Diceros bicornis minor: one gene and its partners. The protein of the gene in region 1 binds, or shares a complex with, the protein of each later gene. Links are inferred from orthologs where the notes say so. Each region holds a gene or a part of one and is shown in the gene's direction. Other genes may lie near its edges. The genes, in order: SRRM1, SCNM1, ARMC7 and SRRM2.

Region 1 (7,357 bases):
CTAGAAATGATTATTAGTGAGTAAGGCGTGTCAAAAGCTGAGACAGGCCAAAAGCTAGGCCTCTTGAGCCAGTTAGCCAAGTTGTGAATGCAAAGGAAAAGTTCTTGAAGGAAATTACTCCAGTGAACACATGAATGATAAGAAAGCAAAACAGCCGTATGGTTGATATGGAGAAAGTTTTAGTGATCTGGATAGATGATCACACCAGCCACAACATTCCTTTAAGCCAAAGACTAATCCAGAGCAAGGCCCTAACTCTCTTCAATTCTATGAAGGCTGAGAGAGGTGAGGAAGCTGCAGAAGAAAAGTTTGAAGCTGGCAGAACTTGGTTCATGAGGTTTAAGAAAAGAAGCCATCTCCATAACATAAAAGTGCAAGGTGAAGCAGGAAGTGCTGACGTAGAAACTGCAGTAAGTTATCCGGAATATCTAGCTAAGATAATTAATGAAGATGTCTACACTAAACAATAGATTTTCAATGTAGACAAAATAGCCTTATATTCGAAGATGATGACATCTAGGACTTTCATAGCTAGAGAGGAAAAATCAATGCCTGGCTTCAAAGCTTCGAAAGACAGGCTGACTCTCTCTCTCTCTCTCTTTTTTTTTTTTTTGGTGAGGAAGATTAGCCCTGAGCTAACATCTGTTGTTAATCCTCCTCTTTTTGCTGAGGAAGCTAGGTCCTGAGCTAACATCTGTGCCTATCTTCCCCTATTTTATGTAGGACCCCTGCCACAGCATAGCTTGATGAGCAGTGCATAGGTCCACACCTGGGATCCAAACCTGTGAACCCCAGGCCACCAAAGTGGAGTGTGCGAACTTAACCACTACACCACTGGGCCGGCCCCTGGCTGACTCTCTTGTTAGGGGCTAATGCAGCTGGTGACTTTAAGCTGAAGTCAATGTTCATTTACCATTCTGAAAATCCTAGGGCCCTTAAGAATTATGTTAAATCTACTCTGTCTGTGCTCTATAAATGGAACTATGAAGGCTGGATGTCAGCACATCTGTTTTCAACACGGTTTACTGAATATTTTAAGCCTAATGTTGAGAGCTATTGCTCAGAAAAGATTCCTTTCAAAATATTACTGATCATTGACAATGCACCTGGTCACCCAAGAGCTCTGATGGAGATGTACAATGAGATTAACGTTGTTTTCATACCTGCTAACACAACATCCACTCTGCAGCCCATGGATCAAGGGGTAATTTCAACTTTCAAGTCTTATTATTTAAGAAATACATTTCACAAGGTTTTAGCTGCCATAGATAGTGATTCCTCTGATGAATCTGAGCAAAGTAAATTGAAAACCTTCTGGAAAGGATTCACCATTCTAGATGCCATTAAGAACATCTGTGATTCATGAGAAAAAGTCAAAATAACAATATTACCAGGAGTTTGGAAGAAGTTGATTCCAACCCTCATGGATGACTTTGAGGGGTTCAAGACTTCAGTGGAGGAACTAACTGCAGATGTGGTGGAAACAGCAAGAGAACTAGAATTAGAGGTGGAGCCTGAAGATGTGACTGAATTGCTGTAATCTCATGATAAAACTTTAATGGATGAGGAGTTGCTTCTCATGGATGAGCAAAGAAAGTAATTTCTGGAGATGAGATCTTCTCCTGATGAAGACGCTGTGAAGACTGTTGAAATCACAATAAAAGATTTAGAATATTATATAAACTTAGTTGAAAAAGCAGCAGCAGGGTTTGAGAGGATTGATTCTAATTTTGAAAGATGTTCCACTATGGGTAAAATGCTATCAAACAGCATTGCGTGCTACAGAGAAATCATTTGTGAAAGGATGAGTCAGTCGATGTGGCAAACTTCATTGTTGCCTTATTTTAAGAAATTGCCGCAGCTGCCCCAATCTTCAGCAACCACCACTCTGATGGGTCAGCAGCCAGCAACATCAAGGCAAGACCCTCCACCAGCAAAAAGGTTACGACTCACTGAAGGCTCAGGATATGCAAGTGAATGTCAGCAGGAAGTTGAAAATATTAGGTCTGGGGCAGACTTGTGCCTGAGATATACAGGTTTGGGAGATGAAAAGATAATTGAAACCAAGGGTCAATGACAGAACCTCAAGGAAAACCAGCATTTACAAAATTGGCAGCAAAAGAGCAGAGACAGTGAAGGAAGTATAAAACAGAACAACCGATCAGAATCATAGAGAACAGTCAGTGAGATGTGGGGCACTGTGATTTCATAGTTGTTCTATAGAAGCCAGCCACTTCCCCTAACTTTGACCTCTGACAAAGCTTTCATTCAGCAAATTTTACTGAGCCTACACTATGGGCCAGACACTGTTCTAGGTGTTAGGGACACACCAGTTAACAAAAAAAGACAGAAAGCCCTGACTTTCGCGAGCTTAAATTCTAGTGTGGGGAACAGATAATAAACAAACATTAAAAATAGATAAACAGGGCTGGCCCTGTGGCTTAGCGGTTGAGAGCACGCGCTCCGCTGCTGGCGGCCCGGTTCCAATCCCGGGTGCGCACCGATGCACCGCTTCTCTGGCCATGCTGAGGCCGCATCCCACATACAGCAACTAGAAGATGTGCAACTATGACATACAACTATCAACTGTGGTTTTGGGGGGAAAAATAAATAAATAAAATCTTTAAAAAAAATAGATAAACAAATATTTGGCGATAAATGCGACAGAAAAAAAGAGGGTAGATTAAGAGGCATCTGAGATATAGAAAGGGTGTGTGAGCAATTTCCTAAAGGGCAGTCAGGGTAGGCCTCATGGAGTAGGTGACATTTGAGTAAAAACTTGAAATTTGCCAAATAGATATCTCGGGGTAGAGCATTCCAGGCAGAAGTTACCAGCAGCACCAAAGTCTTGAGGCAGGAGCAAGCCTAGGAAGTTGAAGCAGTGAGCAGTGTTAGGGTACTAGGAGACGAGATCAAGGAAGAAACGTGGGGGCATCGGGTAGGATTTTGGCTTTTGCTCTGAGAACAAGGAGGGACTATTAGAAGGTTTTGAGCTTAGGAGCGACAGGTCTAAGGTTTTCTAGTAAGATCCCTCTGCTGCATTTAGGATAGACGCTGAGTGGCAAGGGTAGAAGCAGGCAGACGGCGAAGAGGCCAGCGCAGAAGTTCAGACAAAAGATGACGGTGCCTTGAACCGGGGTTCTAGCAGTGGGTTTCCCGATGGCTTAGAAGTAAGAGAAAGAGGAGTCAAGAGTAACACCAAGGCTTGTGTCCTCAACAAAAGGAAAGATACCGCCATCAACTGAGGCAGGGGAGGCTTCGGGAGGAGCAGGTCGCATCCGGGGGTGGGCGGCGGTGAGACCAGGGTAGGGAGGAACCAGTTCAGTTCCTGGTCATGTCAAGTTTGGGGTGTCTATCCACACTCTACGAGTTTGAAGTTGGGGCGAGAAGTCCGAGCTGAAGAGAGAGGGCAGTCGTCAGCAGAGTCGGTATCTAAAGGCACGAGAGAGAACAAATGTAGTTTCAGGTGTGATGACTGTCCTGAAGAAAAGGCAGGAACGGGGGACGAGTGTTTGTGTGGGCGGGCACTTGACAAAAGACGGCCACGGAAGGGACACAGGCTTTCTCTGAGAAAGAAGGCGCTCGGCGGGAATCTGGCGCCATCCTCCCGCGCTGGAGGCCCCCCGACAGGGCAGGGCTGAGGGGGCCGAGGCCACGCCGCGGGGCGGCTCGCTGCTTCTCCCGCAGAGCCCTGCGGGGGGCCCGCTCATCGGCTTCCCGCCCGTTAGCGCGGTTGCCAGGCAGCCGAAACCGAAACTCTTCTAATGGGCATTTCCAGCTTCTCCCGAACACGACCGAGTTGTGTGGGGATGGGGGGAAACTGGGCCGGAACGCAGATTTCACTGAGACTGCACCGCTCTACTTTAGAGCCGATCGTAATAACCGGTAAACTCGTAAAACCAACACAATCACAATTTTCGCAATGACAGCGGAGGCCGCAGGCTTCTCTTCTGCGCACCGGCCGCCTCCCCAGCGTCACTCTGAGGTAACAGCCTTTCTCCTCAATCGCTCCACGGAACCCCCAGGGCGGGAGGCCTCCTCCACTACGGGTCGAAGGAGGGCTCAAGTCACGCTGCGCGAACAGGGCTGGTCCAGCGCCACAAAAGGATTCGCAGGGCGGGGCGCCCCGACGACTCTCTCTCTTGCTCCCATTGGCTGCGGTCGCGAGGCTCTCCTCCCGGACTGGCTACTGCGGAGCCTCGGAGCCCGGCAGCTGCCCGCCATCTGGGCGCGCGTGCGCACGCGTGGCGGGCGCGCACCACACTGAGCAGGCGCGGCCTCGTGTCGGCTGGAGGGGCGGGCGGAGCGGCGCGCGCTGCGTCCCGGCGCTCGGCTTTCCCTGCCGGTCCCGCCCTCCGTCGCGGCGGCGCGGTGCACCCTGGGACAGGGAGCGATCTCCGAGCGAGGCAGCAAGATGGACGCGGGATTCTTCCGCGTAAGTAGAAGCGCGGGGACCTGGGGTGAGGTGAGGCACTTACTGGCGAGGCCTGGCAGGAGGCTCAGACTTGGGACGGAGCGGGCAGCGAGGGGAGGCTTCGAAGAGCCTGAGGATCCTCGGCGCCCGCGGACGCCCCCCTGCCCTGCGGCGAGACCGGTGCGCCCCTGCGCAGTCTCCTCCTCCGGGATCGTCCCCCCTACGCGGCGGCGACGGTCGCCGGAAAATGGCGGCGGGAATGGGCCGGAGGGGCCCCTCGCCGTCCGCCGGCCTGGCGGGGCCTGCACGCCGAGCCGCGCGCGCCGCCGAGTCCCGGGCCTAGCGGAGCCGCGAGGAGGAAGTCCGGGGGGGAGGCCGCGGGGCAGCCCGGAGGTGACTGGCGGCGGGAGGCCCTGGGCACGGTTTGGGGGTGCCGCCCCGGGAGAGCGTGGTAGAGCACAGGAAACAGCGTCGGGCGTCTTTTCTTGAGAAAGCGGGCCCCGACCCCCCTCCCCCGCCGGCCTCCCCCTGGTCCTGAGCCTTCGCGAAGGCGCGGGGTCAGAGTTCGCGAGAGCTCCCGCCCAATTTAATACCCTGCGGGGAGGGGAACTCAGATGATACGTAGTTGGAACGTTTGAATCGGGGACTGAGGGCAGAGGGCGCAACAAAAGTGTGCGCGTGTGCGGAGGCAGGGTACAGGGTGATCGCCTCCTCTCCTTCCCGCTCGCTCCCTCCCCCCCTTCTTTCTTTCTTTTTTTTAAACTCTTGAAGTCCGCTGGAGAAAACGTGCCTCTTACCTAGGTTCTGCCGGGCTGCTCGCCCATCACCTGCAGGCGGGGAAGTTACCTCGCCGCGCGTAGTTGGTCCTCAGGGGCCAGAGTATCAGGCTCGTGCTGGCGCCTGTTTGTCTCGTCTTTTAGGAAATGAGCACCCAGTCGAGATCTGGACGGGTGCGAAGTGGCACTAACAGGACTAGACTTTGCAGATTCTCTTAAAGCACAACGGACCACATAGAGACCAGTGGGTCCAAGTCAAAATGTATGCTTTATGTAGGGTAGGGTTGTCTCTTTCCATTCCCCGGAGCATATTATGCAGTTTGTACGTGTGTGTTTAAAGGAAAAGTGGAAGAGGGGAACACCAGGACTTGGTTAAGATATCTCTTGACACTCCAAAGCTGGCGTTGAAATTCCTCTTTAATTGGCTTTCAGTGTGCCAATTAGTTTTTCATCAAAAGTTGGAATGTTATTCCCATAGTTGACTTAAAACAGCCAGTTATTTGACGGTTCTTAGGTTATGCAAACAGTATTGTAGTTATTTATGTAATGATAGTTTCAGTTGAGAGAGCTTATCAAATTATCACACTGCGGATGAACACTCCATTTTGTAATTTCCATCAAAGTATTTTGTAGTAAATACTCAATATTTCCTGGGGTCTGAATGTAATAATTTGAAACAAAAGCCTGTGATTTTTTTGGTTGTTTCCCATGGAAAGGAGTTCCGGTAGAAAAAGAGCAAGGTGGTTGATAAATTTAAAAATGAAGTTTGCTTTTGGTGTTGGTAAAAGTCTGAAAGAAAAGGATGCAGTTTTTTATATACCGCCTATAATTCCTTAGATGAGTTGACTGGATGTAAGCTTCGAGGTAAAAGATTTTAGGGTAGTTATCTTTTTAGTACAGTGCCAGCCAGGGTAGTAAACTGACATTTTCGGTTAAGATAGAAATGATAGATTAGAAGTGATGGATTGCATTTGTTGAAATCTGCCACATGCCAGTGACTTTACATGTATCATTTCTGATATACACACTCCTGCAACTAAAGAAACATCCTCAGAGAGGTTAAGTAACTTGCTTTGAGGTCATATGGCTTAAGTAGTGGCAGAGTTGAGATTCTTATCCAGGTCCTTTACCTTCCCGAACAAAATTTTCTTGATCACTTTCCAAGGGACAGTGACCAACTCAGTGAACCAATCAGTAGATTTTGTATCAGATGGCTAGTTATTTCCAGGTTTAATTGGGCCAGTAGGAATGACAAAATGTAGACTAGTGATCACTTGATGGTCTAATGTAGTATTTGTAAGTTCTTATTTTTCCAAATTTTTCGCTGAAATTGATTTTATGAAGGTAAACCTATATTTTTCATGCATTTCAAGTTCTTAAAGTTGTGGAAAACTAAACACAGCACAGGCCTAGGGAGTTTTTTCCTTTTTCCCCTTATATGCATTGCCACAATAATTTTGCAAACATGCTACTGGCTTTCAGAAGAGGATGAAACTTAACGGTCTTGTTTGAAGGCATATGTTAAGCGTAGTAAATATTACAACATGTTCTCGTTTATTTTTTTAAGCAATTTTTATTGAGGAAGATTGGCCCTGCGCTAACATCTGTTGCCAGTCTTCCTCTTTTTTCCCTTTTCTCCCCAAAGCCCCAATGCACAGTTGTGTACTATAGTGTAGAGTTGTAGCTCTTCTATATGGGACCCCACCTTAGCATGGCCTGATAAGCAGTGCGGGGGTCCACGCCCAGGATCCGAACCAGTAAACCCAGGGCCGCTGAAGTGGAATGGGTGAACTTCAACGGCTGTGCTGGCCCCAGTGTGTTCTCATTTAAACCAAACAGCCTTAAATCTCCATTAGCCTAGAAAAAGGTATAGAAAGATGCACATCAAACTTGGTTGTGGGGGAGGTGTTAGCATTATGTTGTATGCTGCTATATTGTTTGACTTGTTACAATGAGCATGTATTTTGTAATTTTTAAATACAGTTTTCAAAATATCAGCTGCATTGGGAAGAGAGTATACATTCTGTACCTATGAATATTAGCTATGGTGTTTCTATTTACTTGATTACCCTATTTCGACTGTAAAGGTCATAGCCATCAGTAGCTGATAAAAAGTAGGAATTTAACTTTGAACTCTTAATTAAAATGTATTTCTCTTCCTGCAGGG
Region 2 (7,506 bases), on another chromosome or scaffold:
CACTATAAAAATACTTTTGACCTTGTGGATCCCTGAAGAGTATCAGGGACCCGTAGGGATCCCTGGACCTCACTTTGAGAACTTCTATTAAAGATGAAGGAATTGAGGCTCAGAGAGGTTAAGTTACTTGCCTAAGATTATCTAGCAAGTTAATGACAGAGCTAGAACTAGAATTCTGGACCTTTTTACTCCTTCTGGAAATGCTTTTCTTTTTTTTTTTTTTTTAATTTTATTTATTTATTTATTTTTCCCCCACAGCCCCAGTAGATAGTTGTATGTCACAGCTGCACATCCTTCCAATTGCTGCATGTGGGATGCGGCCTCAGCACGGCCAGAGAAGCAGTGCGTCGGTGCCCGCCCGGGATCCGAACCCCGGGCCGCCAGCAGCGGAGCGCACGCACTTAACCGCTAAGCCACGGGGCCGGCCCCTGGAAATGCTTTTCACACTAAAATATTAATAATTTCACTGATCAAATATTTATTCAGTACCTACTTATTCATCATTGAACACAGTGACTGGCATCACCATCTACTGACCTGCCTCACAAGGTAGAAATATCAACGTCATCCTTAACTCATACTTTTATTTCACCACCCATTCCCAAGTGGTCAAAAAAAAATGCTGCAAAAATCTCTCTCACATCTGCGCTCATCTGCACATCTACTGCCATCACCTTAGAACAGATTCTTAATACTTCTCATCTGGGTATTGCCAAGCTTTTTAACTGGTCTTCCTCTCTTCATTTCTACTCAGATTCCACCCTGTCGACATCTATCTTTCTAAAAAAATTAATCTGATCAACCAAGTACCCTGCTTATAAACGTCCTACGGCTCCCCACTGGCTCAGAGATAAAATCTAAATTAGCATTCAAGGGCATCCTCAATCTAGCCCCCATGGGATGTCTAGCTGTATCTCTCTTCTTCTGCTATGTATACATTTTGCCATCCTGCACTTTTCGTTTTTCTTTGAACATTACATGATCTTCACACTTCTGTGTCTTTATCTGCCTGAAATGCTTCTCCACTATCCCCTTCTCAGCCTGGAAAACTTCTACTCATCAACTACCACTCCCTTTGTGTTACCTTCTTCAGGGCTCCCAATGCATACTGTAAATATTGCTGTAATCATACCTACCCTATTACATTGTTATTCACCTCTTTGCATATTTGTCTTGCCCAAACGCTGTGAGTCCTTTAAGGGCAGGGATGGTGACTTGCTGTCTTTGTATCCCTAAGGTGCTCCTCAGCATCGTACAAACTTGGCACACAGCAGAGGCTCATTAATGCTTTATGAATAAAGAAACTAGATAATAAAATACAGAAACCACAGATATAGTATATCAGTATTTCATTATCAGAGGCCAGGCAGCCAGTTTTACTCAAGATTCATCCCATATTGGCACCAGTTTGGGAAACCATATTTCTTATATCTGTCAAATATCAGAGCTGTTTCCACCCTGGGGCAAGACTATTATAATAAACTTGACTAATAAAATCTCATGCTACAATGTGTTTAAAAATAAAACCAGATTAATCCAAACAATAAAAAAAGTTAAAATTGGCTTGCAGTTTTGCACTTTTACTTTGCCAAGTGCTTTGATGATATTAATTTTATTTTGCCTAGATAATATCCTAGGTGCCTTCTAGCTCCAAGATGTTATGACTTAATCTGTGAATTTTCTATTGCTTTTATTATTTCCTAGAAGTACCCTATAAGGGGACATCATTCCACTTTTAAAAATGATGTAAGGCCAAGGCCAAAGCCCAGAGGAGTCCTAGGCGATCGAGCCGCAGTCTTTAAGAGCTAGAAAGGCCATTACAATCTAGTTAGTTTAACAGAGCAGATCAAAGTGAGGATTTTAGAATGAGACAACCTGGTCTGAATCCTAGCTCTACTAATTGTGTAGTCTATGGCAAGCTGTCTCCCTAAGCCTCAGTTTCCTTATCTTTAAAAGGGAATATTTACACCTACCTCATAAAGTCTTATGAAGATAATATGAGATAATGTATAGAGCTTGGCACATTCTAAGTCTTCCTTAAATGACAGGTAGGTAATAACTTAGATAATTATCATTATTTAATACATCTTCCTCACTTTACAAATGGTGAGGAAACTGAGGCACAGACGGGGAAGTGACTTACACAGTCCCTCAGCTAGTAAGCAGCAGAATGAGGTCAGAACCTGGAAGTCTTCTTCACTATACTACAGTTCTTCCGTACTGGAGGGTACAGGGCTATAAGGAAACCCCACAATTGTCAATGCACTAGTAGCACAGTGCCTTTCTTTGCATGGCTTCTGAGCCTCTGCTGGGATGGAGGGGCTGCTCAGTACTTTCACATCCACTTCCTTTGTTTAGGCCAAGCCCTCTACTTGAAATGGTCACTTTCCTATACTCCCAATCTCCATGAGCAGAAATCTTAGCCATACTTTCATTCATTCAAAAAACACCGATTAAGCTTCTATGTGCTGGGGACTATGCCAGACTCTAGAGATATAAAATTGAAAGGAAATATTTCGGTCCCTTAAGGAAAGTATAGGCTATTGGAAAGACAAAGATTTAGAAGGTACAAACAACTGGATTACATAGGTTTGTAGAGAGGAGCATAGAGGAAGGAACTTCTAAGTCTTTCAAGGCCCATCGTGATGGCTCCCTTCAAATTTGCACTGATGTCCACCCCCCGCCCCCTGCCAAATAAAAATTAATTTTCTTTTCTGATTTATCACCCTTTGTTAATACCTCTACAAACTCACCACATGCTGTCACCTACAATCATTATTTGTGTCCCTCTCCATTTCTCACTAGACTGTAAATTACATGAGGGCAGCAACTATACATTTTATTTATGTTTCTACCTCCCAAGATGGTTACCACAGTGCTTTAAACACAGCAAGCATAAAAATATTGGCTAAATTCAACAGGATATGGGGGAAAAAAACCCTCATCAACTTTAGTGCAATATATTTTTACACCTATCAAAAATACCCTATGCTTGACCTCAAATGCTTGGTGTAGAAAGCACCTGTTTTACATCAAGGAGGCCACCTAACTGGAAAAAAGAAGGCAGAGCATTGAGGAGGAAAAAAGAACAAGACAGAGACACTTTAGGAACTTAGAACTAAAACCCAGCGCTCCATTATCTGCTGTAAATGTTAATCACTCTCAATTAAAAAGTTTCTATTGGTTAATAGCACAGGCTTTGGAGTAAGACAGATCTGTTTGAATTCCCACTCTATAACACTCATTATTTATTTGACCTTGATCAAATTGGTTGACCAATCTAAGTCTCAGTTTCTTCATCTGTAAAAAGGGGGCAATAATTGCATGCTTGATAGGGATGTGAGGATCAAATGGGCTAAAGTATGCAAAGCCCCTAGTACAGTGACTGGCATAATAAATAGGAGCTGCTCCTCTCCATTGGGATAGTGGGACAGGATACGTCCCAACCAGAGAGTGAAACGCTGAGATGGGAAAACAAACAAAAAGATAGAAGTGGATCAGATAACACAACACAACTAGGAAAATTTCAGGAGAAGATGCCTAGAAGAGCTACTACATTCTGAGGAATAAAGCTCTTGTAAGAGAATGATTGTCCACATTCCAATCCTGGAAGACTCACCGTCACCCCGTATTTGAGTGCTAGTCCAGCTAGGGTGTCTCCGGGCGCCAACTGATGCTCCAAGCGTCTTTCCCTCACTGGGGAGCAGGCAGACTGCACCAGGCTTCCATAAGAACGAGCCCGGCTCCCTTGAAGCAGTCCTGACCCTCCGAAGGGGGCTTGTCTAGAGGGAGAAGCCATCTCCTCACCCTGCGGACAGCTGGGGTTGCAACTGCGGGAGGCCCAGCTAAAGTGACCGATAGTGACCGGCCGGGGGTCTGGGAACGGATATCCCGGGGATTCCTTTCCCCTTTTGTCTTCTCTCCTAAGTCTCCCCGCCTCCCTCCGGCACTACGCGTCCCCTCCACCCTCGCTTCTCCTCCCTCCAAGCCCCTTTCCCACAAGTCTGTACCCTGAGTATTCAGTCCCTACCTGAGTCTTTCCTTAGTACCCCCGCGACTTTCGACCCTCCACAACTTGCTACATTGACCTCTGACCTTTGAACTCTAGACACCCTCCCCAACACCGCTCAGTTTGCCCTAAGTCGGGCAGCCCGGCCTCTGGACCACCCCCACCCCCGCTCCGCCCCTTCCCGGGGTTGGTTCGCTAGGGTCAGGAACAAATCAGGCCCACCCCGGGTGGGCTGTCGCCGCAGACGAAGCACGTAATGATTGCGAGAGTTTGTAGTACACTTCCCCACAGAGGTTCTCAGAGGCCCGCTCCGCACCAAATCAATCACACCCTCAAATTCAGCTCCACATCTAATTTCTTGTCCCTCCAAACGTCTCGAACCTGCCAAGATACAAGGGCCTGGATCCGGCCGGGAAGGAAGCTCTTTGAAAAAAAGACTTCATTTCCCAAAAGGCACTGCGTCTGCGGGGTCGCAAGACACCATACGAGACGCAGCCCCCCTCGACAGGCTAGAGGCGGACTTTCGGGGTCGCGCAGAGCATGATGGAAGCTCATCCCCGGAAGTAAGTAGGCCAACCGGAAAGAGCCAAGAAGGAAAGGAGACGCCCCACTCTTGCTACGGTGGCCTGAAAGGAGTGCCGGAAGCGGTACGATAGAATTGATCGTTTCTGGGACTCACGGTTGTGATGTCTTTCAAGAGGGAAGGGGACGATTGGAGTCAACTCAATGTGCTCAAAGTAAGCGCGAGAGGAGAGCATCTGGAGCAGCTTCAGCTGCCTTCTGAAGGCTGTGAAGGAGCTGTTTTGTTGCTCTGACAACAGCTTGGGGCGGGGGGCGCGGGAGGGAGCCAGGCGTCTAGAGAAGGATAGAGACCCCTTCCTCGCTTATGATCGCTGTTCTCCGCATGATCCTTATTCCGTTTGAATCGTCGTCCCTATCATTTCCCTTTCGTCTTTCCCTCTTATCCCACTGATCCCGTCCGGACTTCTTCCCGTATCCCCTGCAGAAACGAAGAGTCGGGGACCTGCTGGCCAGTTATATCCCAGAGGACGAGGCGCTGATGCTACGGGATGGACGGTGAGGGCGAGAAGTGGATCAAACCTGAGGGTTCTGCGGTTAGAGGCTCAATAAACTTTTGTTATTAAAGAGGAGAGCGGGAGTACCTAGGGTTCTCTGGCGGCGAGTGAGGGCCAGGGATGTGGGTGGTGGAGATTGGGAGACTTGGGTGTTGGGCTTTGGAAAGGACTGCTAGGACAGGGTGGAACCTACGGCAGAGACCCCACTCCCTTGGGACCAATTATCTTCTTCTCTCCAGATTTGCTTGTGCCATCTGTCCCCACCGACCTGTACTGGACACCTTGGCCATGCTAACTGCCCACCGTGCAGGCAAGAAACATCTGTCCAGTAAGTTTGAGGGAATATAGGAGATAGAGAACAAACTCTCAGAATCTCTGCAGACCACTCTTGGTGCTCTGTTTTTAATTCTCTTCCCCTTTTCCCTCAGGCCTGCAGCTTTTCTATGGCAAGAAGCAGCCAGGAAAGGGAATGGAGCAGAATCCAAGACAGCAGAATGAATTGAGGAGAGAAGAGACCAAAGCTGAGGTAATCAGAGAGGGGAGGGTGTGTTCCGGCAGGACTCTGCTGCACACCTTAGGCTTGAAGGGTTTGGGCTTCTTTCGAGCTCTGAAGGCTCTGACTCTGTCTCCCATCTCCATACCAGGCTCCTCTGTTAACCCAGACTCGACTTATCACCCAGAGTGCTCTGCACAGAGCTCCTCACTATAACAGTTGCAGCCGCCGGAAGTACAGGTCTGTGGGTGGGAAAGCCAAAGGTAGGGAGGGGCAGAAGGAAACAGATGGCTCTAAAATTATTGTTTTCTGAATTGTATTCTGAGGAATACTTGGGTTCTAGAGATGTTAACTGATATTTCAGGAAAAAGAGAATTTTGTAATTTTTTTTGTGTGTGTGAAGAAGACCAGCCCTGAGCTAACATCTGTTGCCAATTCTCCTCTTTTTGCTGGGCAAGATTGGCCCTGGGCTAACATCCGTGCCCATCTTCCTCTACTTTATATGGGACGCCACCACAGCATGGCTTGACAAGTGGTGCAACGCTCCATGCCTGGGATCCAAACCTGCGAACCCGGAGCCGCTGAAGTGGAGAGCGTGCACTTAACCGCTGCGCCACCGGGCCAGCCCCAAATTTTGTAATTTTTAAAAAATAGTTTGGGAAATGGCACTGTGTAATCCTACTTGAAGAATAGTAATATTTGTATATTTTAAGGGCTCTACAAAGCCTCGAGATTAAAAAAAAAAAAATTTAACCTAGCCTTTCCTAAATTCATTTGATTCTAACATCGTTTTTATGCAGAACACTTATTAACATCTTGAGGAACACAGATTAGGAAGCACTGTTGTAAGGGGTTGGGAGTCACAGGAGAATTGGCCCTTTCCTCCACTGCTTTTACAGACTTCGATTCTTCTCTACCCAGACCAGAAGTCCCTCGTTCTTCCGTCTCCCATTCCCCTTTGCCACCCCCAGAGGTTGAACTCCAAAGTGGGCAGATCAGTAGAGAACTTGAGCCTGGGGCTGGCCTACAGGCCAAGGAGTCAGCAACTGTCTCATCCCCTGCACCTATGAGCCCCAAGAGAAGACGAGCCTTGGACCATTACCTCACCCTTCGAAGGTGAGTATGCAGAATCACTTTCCTCAGATGTTCTGTTTCTCTCTGATCTTCCTTTTTTCAGACCTTTTTGATTGTTTTTCCTTATACTCACTAACTTCTTAAACCTCCTTTCCTGATCAATTCTATTTTCTCTGATATTTCCAGCTCTGGATGGATCCCAGATGGACGAGGTCGATGGGTAAAAGATGAGAATGTTGAATTTGACTCTGATGAGGAGGAACCCCCTGACATCCCCTTGGACTGACACCCCCCTCTCCCCATTCAATTCAAATAAACTACAGTGGGCACTGGGAGCCTAACTTTCCTCGAGTCTAGTTCCTTGTCCCATTTCAGGATTTCAAATCTGTTTATTCTCAGCCCAGCCAATCCTTCCCTGCAATGCACACAGCTCCCCATACTTCTAACCCCTCCCCCACCTCTGGCAAAGTCATGCCAAGCGTCAGCTGCATGCAGCCTAGTGCCCTATTAATAAGTCTGTCAGAAGGAAGTCTTTGCCCTTCATGTTGTCTTCTTCCCCATTTCCACTCAAAGTCCTTTCCTCCTTCGAACCACATGAGGGTTGTGCATAGGCACTGGGGGGCCTGGCCACATCTGGAAACAGGGCCAAGGCTAGGTACCCTGTGAAAGTAGAAGAGACTAAAGGCATTGGCAGGATTATGGGAAACATCAAGGGAGGGAGGTCCCCCACCTCCTCCTAGTAACTTGAACCTCCCTGCCTGCTGATCCCCAGAGTATAAATAATCCCCTGATGAACTGGCAGTAACCCTTGGGGGTTAGCGCCAAGATTCTCACCCCAAAGCCCAAGGCAAGAG
Region 3 (7,822 bases), on another chromosome or scaffold:
GAAAAGGCCTCCCTCCACCTTCCAAGACACCTGCGCCCGGCTGCCCGGCAGCGTGTAGCCGGGCCATACAGCGCCACCTGGCCTTCGACATCTTGCGGCACAACACAGGCTACCGTGTGTACACGCTAGGTGTCGTGTGGATGATCGTGGGTTTCCCGCTGCCGCATATCTTCCTGGTGCCATACGCCATACGGCATGGGGTGGACGAGCACCGGGCAGCCCTGCTCATCTCCATCATCGGCTTTAGCAACATCTTTCTACGGCCCATGGCTGGGCTGATGGCAGGCCGGCGGGACTTTGCTGGCCACCGCAAGTACCTGTTCAGCCTGGCAGCCCTGCTCAACGGGCTCACCAACCTGGTGTGCACAGTGTCGGCTGACTTCCGGGTGCTGGTGGGCTACTGCCTGGTGTACAGCGTGTCCATGAGTGGCATTGGTGCCCTCCTCTTCCAGGTCCTCATGGACATTGTCCCCATGGATCAGTTCTCCAGGGCCCTGGGCCTCTTCACTGTCCTGGAGAGCATCTCCATCCTCATCGCCCCACCACTGGCTGGTGAGGCCCTGGGAGGGAGGGCAGTTGGGTGTGCGTGGGTGTGGCCTGGGTGGGCAGGCTATGGGGGTGGGACAAAGGGAAACGGTCTGGATAGATTTGGGCCCCATCCAGCATCCCAGAGGTAGACTTGGAATTTCTGATTTTCCCAAGCACCCCAGGGGACTGGCTACTGCCTGTCCCCCAACTGGTGCTCAGGGTATGAACAGTTACAAATAAGGGTCTTTGGTACCAGACTTACCTGAGTCCTTCCTCCTCCTCTTTGTACCTATGTTTTCGTATCAGCAAAGTGGGGATGGTCATAGAATCTACCTGGTAGGCTTGCTGTGAGGACTGCAAGTTACACAGTAAAGAGCTTGGAGAGCCTGGCACACTGTGAGTGCTATGCAGGAGGAGGTTGGGGTGGGCCCAGTGCATGACTGAGCAGATACCCCAGACTCCACTGGCCCTTGTGTCCTTGGTTTCCTGCCACCAAGGGTGAGGGAGACATGCCCTTCAGTGTTCTTCCAGCCCGAGAACTCTTCCAGCCTGGGCCAGAGCAGGGTTAGTGTTTCCTCTCCTTTCATTCAACAAATTATCTATTGAGAGCCTACTAGGTCCCAGCCACAATTCCTAGTACTAGGGATACAGCAGAGACAAAAATAAAATCCCTGCTCTAGCAGAGCACAGTGTAGTGGTGAGGGGGCTAGTAGCCCCAGGCAGTGGCCTAACTTGCTGTCTGTCCCCCAGGGTTCTTCCTGGACATCTCTGACAACAACTTCAGCTATGTTTTCTACATGTCAAGCTTCTTCCTCATCTCAGGCGCCCTCTTCATGGGTGGTAGCTTCTGTGCCCTGCGGAAGAAAGAGAGGCAGGGCAGGCAGGCCGAGGGGGAAGGAGCCATCACGGAGGCTGCGCTGGAGCAGACCCTCACCGTGGAAGGCACAGATGGTTCCAAGAAGCAGGTGTACACTGAAATCATGTATGTGACCAGCCTCTGAGCCCTGGGATCACATGTGTGACCAGCATCTGAGCCCTGAGGTCAGTGAGTGACCACTGCCTCAGCCCAGGAATGGGATGTCCAGCTGCCTTGCCAGGAGCTGGGGTGAGAGCTGCCCCCAGGAAGCCTGAACCAAAGGCGATCCAGGCTTTGCACGTTGGGACTCAGCCAGGAGCTGGAACCTTGGAGGCTGGCCTCCGAAGACTCAGGGTTCCTTGCAACTAGCAGAATCCAGGAGCGGGTCCTCCTGAGTTTTATCCTTGGTACCAGAGTACCTGGGGCCCAGGAAGTTGGGGCTGAGCCCTGCTCCCGTCTGTCATGGCCAGGTCAGCTCAGCTGGCTGCCCACTACTGCTGCTACAGCTCAACACACTGGACCTCCTAGTCCAGCCCGGATGCCTCTGATGTGATCTCTTTGTCCTTCTCCGGCCTCCAGACAGTTCCAAAGAACTCACCCGTCCTCTGAGGCCCTTCTGTCCCCCTCTTCCCAAGCGACCCGGCCCTTGCCCTTAGAACTGCCTCCAGAACAGGTTGCTGTGCCCCACGTTGACTGGAACCTTGGGAAGAAGGGCCTTGTGAAAGAAGGAGTTGTGGCCTGCAGCGGTGGAGGGCCAGGCTAGGGTTTGGACAGATTAAATCTTTGGGTAGAGTGCCTGTCCTGGTGTCTGTGCAAAGAACTGGAGGAGAGCATTGGGTCCTAGAATCAGTGAAGTCTGAGAGGTCCCCCTGCACACTCAGCAAGGTCTGCTTCAGGGTCTCCCTCCCTCTGCCCCACCCTCTATCTTGGCTGGGAAGATTAGTGCCAGGGTTGGGGGAAGCTAGACATTTGACTGACCAGGGGAGGGGCAGGATTGCTGGGCAGGGCCCAAGGACCTCTGTGAAAATGGAGCTGCTTTTTGCAACAAAAGCCCTTCCACTCCCCTCTCCTGCCCTTCTCTTCTCCCTCCTATGTCAGAGGTGTCATCCCTGGGGTAAGTAGCTGGCTGGGACAGCTGTCAGTCCACCCCTGCTCCCTGTTGGCCTATGCATGTGGCCTGGAGGTCAGAACCACCCCCCCCACCCCACCCCCCCACCCCCGCCAACACACACACACTGTTTTTCCTGGTGCCCTTCCCTGAGCTCATCACCTGGGGGCTGGCTGTCATCAGCCCAGGCTTGTCCCAGCAGGGTACCAACAGAGGGAATAGAAAAACAGAGTTTGTTTGAATTACACACAAAAATGTTTTCTGCAGCAGGTTATATAAACCCTGTGAACTAATGAAGCTGGAAAACAGGCCTGGAGTAAGTTTCCCCCTCCCCCTTCAGTTCTCCCAGCTCAGCAAGGGCTGCACTCACCCAGAACCTTATTTGTTGATTCAAGCTCAGCCAGGCTCCAACAAGAAAACCTTATCAGGAGAATTGATTTTATTTTCATGACCCGGCTCCAACTGGGATGAGTAAGCATCCTTGGGGATGTCCTGTCTTCTCCAGGACCCTGTCATGAGTGCCCCCTTATGGCGAAAGATGGTAGTGCAGAGGTGAAGCAAAGGGCTCTGGGGTGGGATAGACCTCAGTTCATGTTTGGCTCTGCCACAATTTGCTCTAGGACTTTGGGCAAATTGTTCACCATCTCTGGGCTTTCAGAAAGGAGGAGGTTGGCCTGGATAAGCACAAGTCTCTTCCAGTTTGAAAAGTCTGACCCCCATTGCCTTCCTGCTCCCCACCCAGTCCTGCGCTTGGCCACCAGCCACAGCTTGTGCACTGGAGGGGGAATGCTGGGACACATTTTACCAGGTCTTGTCTCACCTATCTTAATTGAGTGGAAGAGGAAGGAGTTGGGGCTGGTGGGTAGGTGAATGCTTCCAGTGCTAGCAGCCATCTGGCTTTGAAATGTGCATCCTCTAATAGGCCCCTATCCTTAAAAAAAATTTCTTTTAAGGAAAAAAGATATCAGTGAACATTCAGCATAGGGGACTTTGAGCTCATCTGCCCTCGGGCAAGAGTGGCAATAATCTCTGGGCAGAATTCCTTCAACAAATATTTATTGGGCATCTACTGTGTGCTAGGGACTGGGCAGAGAGGAGTAAGACCTGGTTGCTGCCCTCAGCACAAAACCAGGGACTGAGAATTATTCCCCAAGGAGGGCCTCTGAGGCCTTGGCAAGGAACAAATAAGGGAGGATAGGGTGACCCATCTGATGCCAGAACCCACACTTAGCTGATTTCCCGGAAATCCCCTAGAGAGGGTCTGGAGCAGTTCCTGAGCAGCACAGGGTGGAGCTCACTGCCATCCTGTCCCCAAGCCCTGAGCTCCTGGTCCCCAGGCCTTCGCTGCTCTGTCCAGCCAAAGGCAGAGAAGCCCCCTGATACCTTGGGCTAAGATGTACTTCCCTAGGTCACATCAGTTCCCCAAAGAAGCTGAAGGGCCTGGCGAGGGGCCTGGGGCCACCACCCCCATGGAGCAGCCACAGTACCCAAGCACCCAGACTATGGTCATAACTCCTGCCCCAGGGGGCATGCATAGAGCAGGGGCTGACCACAGGGACCTAAGCCCACAGAGGTGGGGCCTGTGGAGGCTGGAGTGTGGCAGCCACTCTGCCCTCATGCCAGGCCCAGGAACAAAGGTACATGGGCCTTGCCCTCAAGAAGCTCACAGCCCAAGCCCCTTTAACCCCTACATTTTCAAGCATGGTTGGAGTGCAGCAGGGCCACCTCTCTCCCTGGTGCTCTATTCCCTGTGCCTACAGGGTCTCGGTCACACACCATCTTCCTGAGAGGCCCGAGAAAGAATTAGGCTGAAGGGCTTCAGCATTCAAGGCTGCACAACCCAGAAAGCCGCTAAAGCGGTGCATTTGGGTGAACTGAGGTTCCTACGGCCCGTTGGTGCTGCCCCAGCGCTCCCCGTCCACCTGGCTGACAAACCCAGTTCCGGAGACTTCTGGCCAGAGGTGGCGGACTCAGCTCGGGGCTGCGGAGCAGACGGTTTTTGCAAAAGCCGAGCAAGAGGTAGTGTCAAAGGACCCATCTTGGGGGCGCAGGGAGCCGAGCCCGCGTCCCTTGGTCGAGGAGGCTGAGCTGCGTCTTCTCCTCAGGTGCAAGGGGGTCTGGAGATGCTTCTGCCTCGACAGCCCCCCACATGTACACCCTCCGCCGCCTCTGAGCTCCCAAGGACCCTAGAGGTGCTCATCAATGCATACATAACTCTCCAACGCCCTTCGCCGCGACCCCGGCAGTAAGGCGAGAAGCGGAACGCGCACGCGCGCCGAGCTCAGCACAGGCCCCGCCCTTCGCCCGCTTCAGCCCGCCCCTTCCGCCCTCTGGAGCGGAGGTAAGCGTGCCTTCCACCGGAAGCCCGGAATCGAGCTGAAAATCAAGCCCAGCGGAGGAGTGCTGCGTACCGCGACTACCTCTTCCAGCGCACAGCGCAGTCCTTGTCTTTCACGCCGCAATTTAGATTTTTCACGCCCAACTCTTACAAGATCCTGAGGCCCCACCCCATCCTCCTCATCCCAATTCCACCTGCAAATTACTGCATAACCTGAACCCAGAAAAGGAAGATATTTCGCGCCCCGGTCCGCCCTTACCCTTATCGGTAGAGGCCCGGACAGGTTCTCTCCCGGCTTTTCCGGCCTCACCTCCCACACTCTCCTGCCTGTGCGCTGGAGGTCCTCCGCCTCCCCGACCATGGCCCAGAAGCCGAAGGTAGACCCCCACGTTGGGCGCCTGGGGTACCTGCAGGCGCTGGTCACGGAATTCCAGGAGACGGAGAGCCCAGGTGAGAGCGGCAGGATGGGGTCGGGACGGGGCGGGGGTCTGGCCGCGGCCGCCGCCCGGGACCTGGCTCCAGTTCTGCTTTTCCGCTGCAGACGCCAAGGAACAAGTCCTGGCCAACCTCGCCAATTTCGCCTATGATCCCAGCAATTACCAGTATCTGCGGCAGCTGCAGGTCCTTGATTTATTCCTCGATTCGCTGTCGGAGGAGAATGAGACCCTGGTGGAGTTTGCTATTGGTAAGGATGGGGCTGGGCCCCCAGATGCCTGATGGGCTGTGGTGAGGTAAGTGAGTGAGAAGTGAGTCGTTGGGAAAGGAATCTCTTAGGCAGTCCCTCAGCTGCCAAGGCAGACCTTCGCGATGTCTGTGCCGCCTCCGCGGTTCACGCATCGTCCAGGTCACAGCTAGCTTGAGTCAGGTCTGGAACTCACGCCCAGGACTCCCTCTGCCTGTCTGCCTTCCCTCCTGCTTAGAGATGAAGTCATAAAGGAGGGAATGGATTGAAGCCAGTTGGAGGGAAAAAAGTTTAAAAAGTGATCCTTCAAACATCTTTATTTTAATGTTTTACTATCAAGAACAGCAGAGGTAACTTGGAATGTGTAGCTTATGGTTCGTGTAGTTCTTATGGTCTAAGACCTGTTGAATTATTCACTGGACAGATATTTATTGGGCATGTACTGTATGAGCAAGGTACTGTTCTAAATGCTGGTGAGATGGTGAACAAGTTGGGCAAAGGTCTTTGCTCTCAAGGAGCTTCCATTCTAGTAGGGGAGACAGATGGTGAGCAAACAAAAAAAAAAAGCTGAGGCTCTGAAGGAAATAAACAGGGTGATGAGACAGAGCAGTCGGAGCTGGGGACTACTTCTGTTTGGGCCATCATGGGAAGGCATTTAGGGAAAACCCTACAGCAGGAGGAGCCAGAAGGCTGGAGTGGCAGGATTGTGGTGAGTGAAGCGGGGAGTGGTAGAAAATGAGGTTCGAGAGGTCATTGGCACCAGAGCTTACAGGGGCTTAGAGGTAGGCCATGGGAAAGAGTTTGAAATTTATTCTGAGGGCAAACAAAAATTCTTTTTTCAGCATGCATGTTTTAAAAATAACATTTCTCTACATAGTGAAAGGAATCTTATTCATGTAGGGAAAGAAACCTACCTTTAATAATTCCATTATTACCTAATACACAGTTATGTGAATTTCTCTAATAGTTCCCAAAAGGACATTTTGTTTGTTTGTGTAAGCCGGGATCCAATCTGGGATCCATGCATTTCATCTGGTTATATTCCTTAGATCTTTATCTCTCGCTCTTTTTAAATAAACTTTTATTTTAGAACAGTTTTAGGAAAATTGCAAAGATAATACAGAGAGTTCCTCTATGTGCCATACCCAGTTTCCCCTCTTATTAACATCTTAGTGTGGCACATTTGTTACAATTAATAAACCAATATTGATAAATTATTATTAACTCTACATTATTATTAACTCAAGTCCATACTTTATTCAGATTTCCTTAGTTTTTCCCTAATGTCCTTTTACTGTTCCAGGATCCCATTCATACTACATTACATTTAGTTGTCACGTCTCCTTAGGCTCCTCTGGGCTGTGTCGGTTTCTTAGACTTTTCCTTTTTTTTGATGACCTTGACAGTTTTGAGGAGTACTCGTCAGGAATTTTGTAGATTATCCCTCAATTGGGATTTGTCTGATGTTTTTCTCATGATCAGGCTGCATTATGGGTTTGGGGAGGGTGACCCAGGTAAAATGCCAGCCTCGTCGCATCATATCAAGAGTACATGCTGTCAATATGACTTATCACTGTTGATGATGACCTTGATCCCCTGGCTGAGGTAGTATTTGTCAGGTTTCTCCGCTGTAAATTACTCTCCCCACCCTTTCCATATTGTGTTCTTTGGAAGGAAGTCACTACGTAAATTATCTTATATCTCTTTTAATCATTAATAGACTTTTTTTATTTTTTATTTTTTATTTTTATTTTTATTTTTTTTATAATTTTATTTATTTTTTTTCCCCCCAAAGCCCCAGTAGACAGTTGCGTGTCATAGTTGCACATCCTTCCAGTTACCGTATGTGGGACACGGTCTCAGCATGGCCGGAGAAGGGGTGCGTCGGTGCGTGCCAGGGATCGAACCCAGGCCGCCAGCAGCGGAGCGCGCACACTTAACTGCTAAGCCACGGGGCCAGGCCAGACTCTTTTTTTAATATCACTAATTGTGGAAGGATCCAGGTTAGTTCTTCAGTTCTGCAAAATGTCCCACCTTCTGAATTGTCTGGTTGCCTCTCTTGGGCTTTATTTGGTTTGTTCCTCTATCCCCTTCCCGTTTATTTCCTGTAACCTAGAAATTAGATTGAAGGCCTTGGTAGAATCAAGCAACACTTTTTTTTTTTTTTTTTTTGCTGAATACATCATAGGTAAGTGTAATTTAAGTTTTTGAAAGACCATCCAGGTCTGCCCCTGTGTTTGTGATATCTGGGGCTAGAGTACAAATGGGCGTTGGCCTACCTTCTCTTCTCACACACGTGTGTGGACATCC
Region 4 (6,880 bases), on another chromosome or scaffold:
CTGGAATTGGATAGTGGTGATGGCTGCACAACACTGTGAATGTACTTAATGCCACTGTACACTTAAAAATAGTTAAAATGGTAAATTTATGTTAAGTACATTTCATTACAAAATACTACACTGAAATAACATTGCTCGCCATAACTCAGCAGGTTAGCAAAAACTGAAAAGTATAGCAACCCACTCTGTTGGCAAGGCTGGGAAAGCAGGTCCTCTCACATTTTGCTAGTGGGAATGCAAATTGGTGTAAGTCTTACTGAGAGGAGCCTGCCATTACTAGCAGGACTACGTGTCTTTACCTTTTGCCCCAGCAATCCCACTTCTAGGAGTTTACCTTGAAGATACACCCCCAACAATATGAAAATACACATGCTCTAGGTTACTCACAGCAGCATGGTTTGTAATTACAAAATATGAGAAACAACTTAGACGCTCACACATAAAAGAGTGGCTGAATACAAGTCCACGGACACATCTCTGTGCGCTGCTGTGGAGCGATTTCCAGGATACGTAGCGAAGTGAGAAAAGGAAAGTGGGAAAGAGTGATTATAGTGTGCTCCTGTGTGAAAAAAGGAGGGCAATTAAGAAAATGTACATTTGCCTCCTCCCTTGAGCAACAAGACACCTCGGAAGAAAAAGCAGAGAGGGTGAGGCTGATACCAGAAGGTAGAGGGCAGGAGTCGCACAGAGAGGAGAGAGGGAGCGGAGGGGTAGACACCGCTCTGAATACACCTTCTCTTACAGACCTGCCTTTTGGAATCCTGTAACTGTTTCACATATTTGAAAAAAGTAACTAAAATCTCAAGGATGGGAGGAAAAAAATCCTAAAGTTTAACACAAACACAAACAAATGAACCAAAGCATATTTCAAATGAATAACACACATAACATAACACAAATAACATAAACACACTCAAGGGTGAGAAAAAAATAAAACCAACTACCTCAAGCAACTTTTGAATATAGCATTTAGAGCATATGCCCTCAGGCTAAAGACAAAAACCTCTAAACAAATATTGACCTATAACAGGTAGGCTTTTTTCTTTTTTGCAGATGCATGGATGAACAATTCTGAAGCTACTTTTTGGAATTCTAGGATGGAGCACATAAATGAATATACTGAGGAAATGGAAGCCAAGTTCCTCATGGTTGGAGGATGGCGTTACAAATAAAGAGAGGGGAAAGGATAGAATGAACCCTGTACCCTTAGATTCGAATTGGAGATATAACTCATGGATGTATATATCTCATCCATTTCCCAGCTCTATCGTCCAAGAAGGCCTATAAGTAATGATGTTACAGTGACTATAAGTCTACCCACTACCCAGATCTTGGTTTCTAAATACATTTGCTCTAGATCCTTTTTTTTTTTTAATAATTTTATTTATTTTTTTCCCCCCAAAGCACCAGTAGATAGTTGTATGTCATAGCTGCACATCCTTCTAGTTGCTGTATGTGGGACACAGCCTCAGCATGGCCGGAGAAGCAGTGCGTCGGTGCACAACCCGGAATCCGAACCCGGGCCGCCAGCATCAGAGCCTGGGCACTTAACCGCTAAGCCACGGGGCCCGCCCACTAGATCCTTTTTTTTTTTTTTTTTTTTTTTGTGAGGAGATCAGCCCTGTGTTAACATCCGCCAATCCTCCTCTTTTTTTGCCGAGGAAGACGGCCCTGGGCTAACATCTGTGCCCATCTTCCTCCACTTTATATGGGACGCCGCCACAGCATGGCTTGCCAAAGCAGTGTGTCAGTGCGCGCCCGGGATCCGAACCAGTGAACCCCGGGCCGCCGCAGCGGAGCGCGCGCACCCAACCTCTTGCGCCACCGGGCCGGCCCCTAGATCCTTTTTTTAACTATTAAGGGTAGACTAGAAATTTTACAACAGAGAAACCTGGTCGACCCCATCTTTACCAAAGTCAACTTGGTAGAAACGGAACTATTGGGCAGCATACATCTCTTCACAATATGCACAGAGAACACAGCATCACCTCCATGGTCTTCCTGCCAAAAGTGAATAACCTGAATCTAAACACGACGAAACATCAGATAAACCCAAATTGAGGGACACTGTACAAAATAAATGGCCTGTAACCTTCAGAAATGGCAATGTCATGAATTACAAAGAATTAGGAACTGTTCTAGATTGAGTCTAAAAAAGACATGATAAGAATGCAACGCATGATTTTGAATTTTCTTTTCCTATAAAGGATATTATCAGAACTGATGACATCTCAAAAGGGTCTGTAGATCACAGTACTGTTTCAATGCTACTTTCCTGATTTTGAAAGCTGCTGTGGCAATGTGAGGAAATTCATTGTTCTCCCCATAGAAAAAGGAGAATAACACCTACCCCACGGAGTTGCCGCGAGCATTAAATGCGCTGACTCACCTACAGAATTTAGCACAAAATATTCAGTAGACATAGGGAAGAATATCAGTGGGAATTAGGTTACAGGAAGAGGCCTCAGTGGTGGCGGTGGGTTTTAAGAAACCAGCACCCCACACCCTGACCCTCAGAAATAGCAGGTCCGGCCCAGAAAGACCGAGGCTTTGCCATAAGAGTCTCCAGAGGTGCGTCCAGCTCCTGGAAGGGGTACCCAAAGGTGCCCCAGTTCACGGAGGCAAGACGGGAACCATCCCCTGGGCAGTGCAGGCTCAAGTTTCTGCTCCTCCACAGAACGGCGGGTCCCCGCTTCTAGCCCCTGAAGTGAGTTCATCCTCCCGCGGGCAGGTGAAGAAAACTTTGTCATATCAAATACAGCCCCTCAACCTCACACGGACCACAGATCGCCACGTGTCCCCCGTGTGCGGGGTCCTGTGGACAGTGCGCGCCCTCCAGACACAGGCGGCTGAGCCAGTCCACGTCGGCCGGCCAGGGGGGGCATCAGGCCAAGACTCGGGCCTGAGCAGCCCAGCTTCTTCCAGCTCTGCTCTCAGGGAGACAGGCTGGTTCTCGGGCTCCACAAAACGCACTTAAAAACACTAACAGGGGACATTCTGCAGGGGGAGTGAAAAATTCAAGGGTGTTTGTAATGTATTCCTCCCGCCACGGGTAACACGTCCCAGATTCTGCAGGAGGAAATCGCGTCGCTGCCGGGCCGCCTTACCCGGAGGTCATAGAAAATTATCCCCCAGGGCAGCCGCCCGGTCAGCACCGTCCGCGTGGAAGCTGCAACCACCACGGCAGGCTGGCTCGGCCTTTGCCTCAGGCCCTGGGCCTGAAGCTGGGATCTGAGGTTCCGGGGGTGCCCGCTGGCTGGGGTCTGAGGGGCCTTCTCCGGGTGCGGAAGGCCGAGGGCGGCGCGGCCGCGGGCTCGCCCCGTGGAGGCCCGCGGTCACACGGAAGCAGTAGCTCCCCTGTTCGCGGGCCATCGCCTCCCAACATGGGAAGACAAAATGGCGGCCGCGCCCCGGGGTAAGGGGGGGGTGGTGGCCGCAGCTACATACGGGTTCCGTGCCACGCTAGAACTACAACTCCCAGAATGGTTTGGGTCGAAGGCGGGAGGCTCATGTGCGCTCTGGCGTCACTCGATGTGGCGCGAGGCTCTGTGTCCTCTCCCCCCAGCGGAAACCCTCCGGAATACGTTGTCTACTCTGGTCCACTACCCAGCCCTTCCTCGCACTGGCCGACGGGACTTGTAGTTCTTCGTCAACGAAGTTGAACCTCCTTCCCTCCTTAAGAAACTACACTTCCCGGTGTAGCCTCGGCGCCTGCGCACAAGACCACGGGGCGTACTACGGTTCCCGGCGGGCCCTGCGATGCGCGCGGCTGCGTGCTGACGCGCTTAGTTGGTCGTGCTGACGTGCAGCGCTGCTCAGGCGGGGTGCGAGTGGCGCAGTCGGAGCCCGCTGCGGCCCCTGAGGAGGCTAGGAGACGTCGGTGTCGGCTGAGGCGGTCGGACCGGCGAGGCTAGGCGGCGGCTCCAGGCCCCGAGGGAGTCAGGAGCTCGAGCGGCGGCAGCAGCAGCGGCAGCACCTCTCCCCTCGGAGGCGGCGGGCGGAGGCGGCGGGTGAGAGGGTGAGGGAGCGCGAGAGCCGGGTGGGGGAGGGGCGGCGGCCCCGGCTCCAGGCCAAAGCGAGCGGAGAACGGCCCAGGCCGCCGCGCGCACGCGCACTCACCGCCCTTAGCTCGCGCTCGCTTGCCTGCCTCCCCTCCCCCTCTCCGCTTTCCTGTGGCGCGCGGGGTTTTACTCTTCTTCCCCTCCCCCATGGCAACGGCGCGCGCCGCCGACTGCGCTCCGGCTCGCGCGCTCTCGGTAGGGAGCGGGGAGCGCGCGGCTCGGCTCCTCGCTCTCTGACGCGTGCGGCCGAAGAGGCCATCCGGCAGCTGCCCTTTCCGACATTTTTCTCGGCGGGGAGAGGGTGGTGGCGGGCGCCTGCTCCTGGGTCATTTCCCCCGCGCCTTTCGTGTTTGGCTTCGTCTCCTTTTTGGGGCCTGAGGCCCGGCCCGGAGCCTCCCAGACGACGGGGCACCGCGCAGCCCCCTCCCCCATCCCACGAGGCCGAAAATAGGCCTTGGCGGCCCGGCCAGTGCCGAGAAGGCCTATGAACTAGATGGCCCGGAGATTTAGAGAGTTCGGACTCGTTACTGTTCGCAGTGAAGTATTAGGGAGAGCAAAGCCCCAAACCCTGAAAAAAACACGATTACGTAGTCAGTCTGGGTATGTAAGGGCAGACCATGTGCTCCTTTTTTCCTGGAGCTTTTTCGTTATCTTCTTCAAAGTTGTGTTAAAGCGAGGCAGGAGGCTGTTGGAGCCCGTCCTTGGGAAGAAAACCCTGGACTCTGTTTCACGCGTTATTTGGCACACAGCTCTTCTGAGCCTTGGTTTCCACTCACACTTATCTAAGTAAGACGTCTTCTGCACCAAAAATTCAAAGAGTATATTGTTGTCTGCTCTCAAGTGTGTGTGGGCTTAGGTCTCTTCCTGAGCTAATATTAGCTTTCTGGGTTCCCTAGTGCCCACTCAGCTGCTACCGTGCCCAGTGCTGAGCTTGCTGTGCTTACCTATGTCTGTTTTCCTGCACACCCCCCTCCTTCCTTTTTGGTGCATTTCTTTTGTTCAGTAGCTTAATGTTGAATTTCATGATTTCTTTCTAATTAGTTTGACATCGTGATAATTTTCCAACACAAAAAATTGTATGTTTCTTACTTTTACTTTTTGCTTGTAGTTTGGGTAATTTGTGCGTGCTCAGTTTGCGGACCCCAGTTTAAGAATCCCTGTCTCATAAAGTTAACCTGCTTTTGGTGATTAGTGTGTGTGTTGGTCCGTCCTTCCTCTTCCGCTTAGTGTTTTGGGCACTGCCTTAGATACTGTTTTTTTTCTTTTTTTTGGCTCATTCCCTAAATGTTCTCCAGTTCGTTGGGACTTAATATTTTTTGCTTAGCAGCTACTGATTTTCCCTCCCTAGGGAGTGGGAGGATTTTCGTGTGAGGTGGTATGGAAGTGTGGGTGAATGATTAAAATGTAGAATTAATTGTGGGTCAGAAGCATTCAACAAGGGAAGCTGAAATTAGGTGGGGTATAGAGAGGCAAAGAAGGACCTAGGTTTAGAATGGGGAGGATTGGTATTTGAGAAAATGAAAGTGAGGCTTGGAAGATAGAGAAATTGATTTCTTGTGCTATAAAGAAGTTTTTTGTTTTTTCATGCATTTCTAGTCGGCCTTTCCTAGATTTAGCCTTATTTGTCACACCTTTACCTTGGTATGATTATCTTTCTTTTCAGTTCTCTCCTGAGTCTGCTACTGGGATGCGGGGGGTGAGGGGGTGGGTCCAAACTGTTTTGGAGTTGAACTGTCAGCTGTCTCCCTTCCATATACGCACACACAGAGAGGTATTGGCTTTAGTGCTATTTTTCCATGTATTTGTATGATGTTTCTTTATTCTGGAATTTTTAAAGTGTAGCCTTCTCTTTTATCCATTTCTATCTTTTTTTCTCTCTGCCTTCTCTAATCTCTCCACTTTATTCCTTGAGTTTTTTCCTGGGGTAGTTTTCCCTCGCACATTTATGCTCTGTGAAACTATCGTGGACAGGATGAGTTGGAGAAAGAAATAGAGTATGTATAGCCAAGAAATCTACCCAGAAAAGCTGAGACTTCAGGGCTCTTCAGTGTCGTGCTGGGGTTGAGAGGATAGAACCTGGTGGGAGGCATGGAGATAAAGTGAGAGGGATATGGCAGGGCTAGAAAAGAAAAACTAGGAAGTGAGATACAGGGGACTCTTAGGGAAAGCCAACAGTTTAACATTAATGAAAGTGAGGTAAAAAGAATGGGGGTTTTCTGAATAAGTTTAGGGCAAGGAATGTAGAAAAGGTATGGGAATAGTTGGAACAGAGGCTGGTTTGGTGTGTTTGGAGCATTGAGTTGAAAACAGGTAATATTTAACAGGAGCTAGTGAGACTTGGTTGAGCTGCAAATCATGTGCGAAATTCTATTGGGAAGGAAATTGAAGGAATATGATATCAGTCAGGATAGTTGATATGAGCTATAAATATTTGGAACCAAGGAAATGGCTTCTTACCTGAGAGTGAAGTATAAGAGCGTTAGGTATCCAAGGTTCATGTGTGTTTCTGATGTTCATGCTGGCCTTTAGTTTGGATGTGAGGCTGCACAGAACACTTGAGTTTATCTTAAGAACCAATTAGTCAACCTGTTTGGGTATTTAGGGGCTGTTTAGTCAGTTTGTATTCATAACAGGGTAGTCTGAAATCCTTAGGGTAGTTCTTGGAAGAGCCTTTGGGCTTGGACTGCAGGCCCTTGGGTGCCACATATGTTTGTTTGGTGTTTGTTGTGTGCCCTGTTTGGAGGCCTCAGTCAGTTGCCAGAGGTTAGGAATTAGAGTAGTTGGTGAAGACACCACTTGTGCATATTGGGGCCAAAGGA

The links.
Region 2: SRRM1 (region 1) and SCNM1 share a complex: the UniProt entries of both Homo sapiens proteins name them as parts of the minor spliceosome. The link is inferred for Diceros bicornis minor from reciprocal best matches to the Homo sapiens genes SRRM1 and SCNM1.
Region 3: SRRM1 (region 1) and ARMC7 share a complex: the UniProt entries of both Homo sapiens proteins name them as parts of the minor spliceosome. The link is inferred for Diceros bicornis minor from reciprocal best matches to the Homo sapiens genes SRRM1 and ARMC7.
Region 4: SRRM1 (region 1) and SRRM2 share a complex: the UniProt entries of both Homo sapiens proteins name them as parts of the minor spliceosome. The link is inferred for Diceros bicornis minor from reciprocal best matches to the Homo sapiens genes SRRM1 and SRRM2.

What each region holds. Positions count from the first base shown.
Region 1 is NC_080752.1:40,889,020-40,896,376, forward strand, and holds the start of SRRM1 (serine/arginine repetitive matrix protein 1), read left to right. Parts: upstream 1-4,348; 5' UTR 4,349-4,414; coding exon 4,415-4,435; intron 4,436-4,752; exon of another isoform or gene 4,753-4,807; intron 4,808-7,355; coding exon 7,356-7,357. UniProt on the Homo sapiens protein: Part of pre- and post-splicing multiprotein mRNP complexes. As a component of the minor spliceosome, involved in the splicing of U12-type introns in pre-mRNAs. Involved in numerous pre-mRNA processing events.
Region 2 is NC_080743.1:55,452,039-55,459,544, forward strand, and holds SCNM1 (sodium channel modifier 1), read left to right. Parts: upstream 1-4,656; 5' UTR 4,657-4,695; coding exon 4,696-4,746; intron 4,747-5,015; coding exon 5,016-5,086; intron 5,087-5,324; coding exon 5,325-5,413; intron 5,414-5,513; coding exon 5,514-5,611; intron 5,612-5,729; coding exon 5,730-5,818; intron 5,819-6,499; coding exon 6,500-6,694; intron 6,695-6,838; coding exon 6,839-6,938; 3' UTR 6,939-6,998; downstream 6,999-7,506. Other genes in the region: LYSMD1 (lysM and putative peptidoglycan-binding domain-containing protein 1), read right to left, coding at 3,620-3,799. UniProt on the Homo sapiens protein: As a component of the minor spliceosome, involved in the splicing of U12-type introns in pre-mRNAs. Plays a role in the regulation of primary cilia length and Hedgehog signaling.
Region 3 is NC_080757.1:55,646,522-55,654,343, forward strand, and holds the start of ARMC7 (armadillo repeat-containing protein 7), read left to right. Parts: upstream 1-4,818; 5' UTR 4,819-5,189; coding exon 5,190-5,280; intron 5,281-5,371; coding exon 5,372-5,515; coding exon of another isoform or gene 5,516-5,547; exon of another isoform or gene 5,548-5,561; intron 5,562-7,822. Other genes in the region: SLC16A5 (monocarboxylate transporter 6), read left to right, coding at 1-552, 1,279-1,529. UniProt on the Homo sapiens protein: As a component of the minor spliceosome, involved in the splicing of U12-type introns in pre-mRNAs.
Region 4 is NC_080765.1:45,635,216-45,642,095, forward strand, and holds the start of SRRM2 (serine/arginine repetitive matrix protein 2), read left to right. Parts: upstream 1-3,878; 5' UTR 3,879-4,018; intron 4,019-6,880. UniProt on the Homo sapiens protein: Required for pre-mRNA splicing as component of the spliceosome. As a component of the minor spliceosome, involved in the splicing of U12-type introns in pre-mRNAs.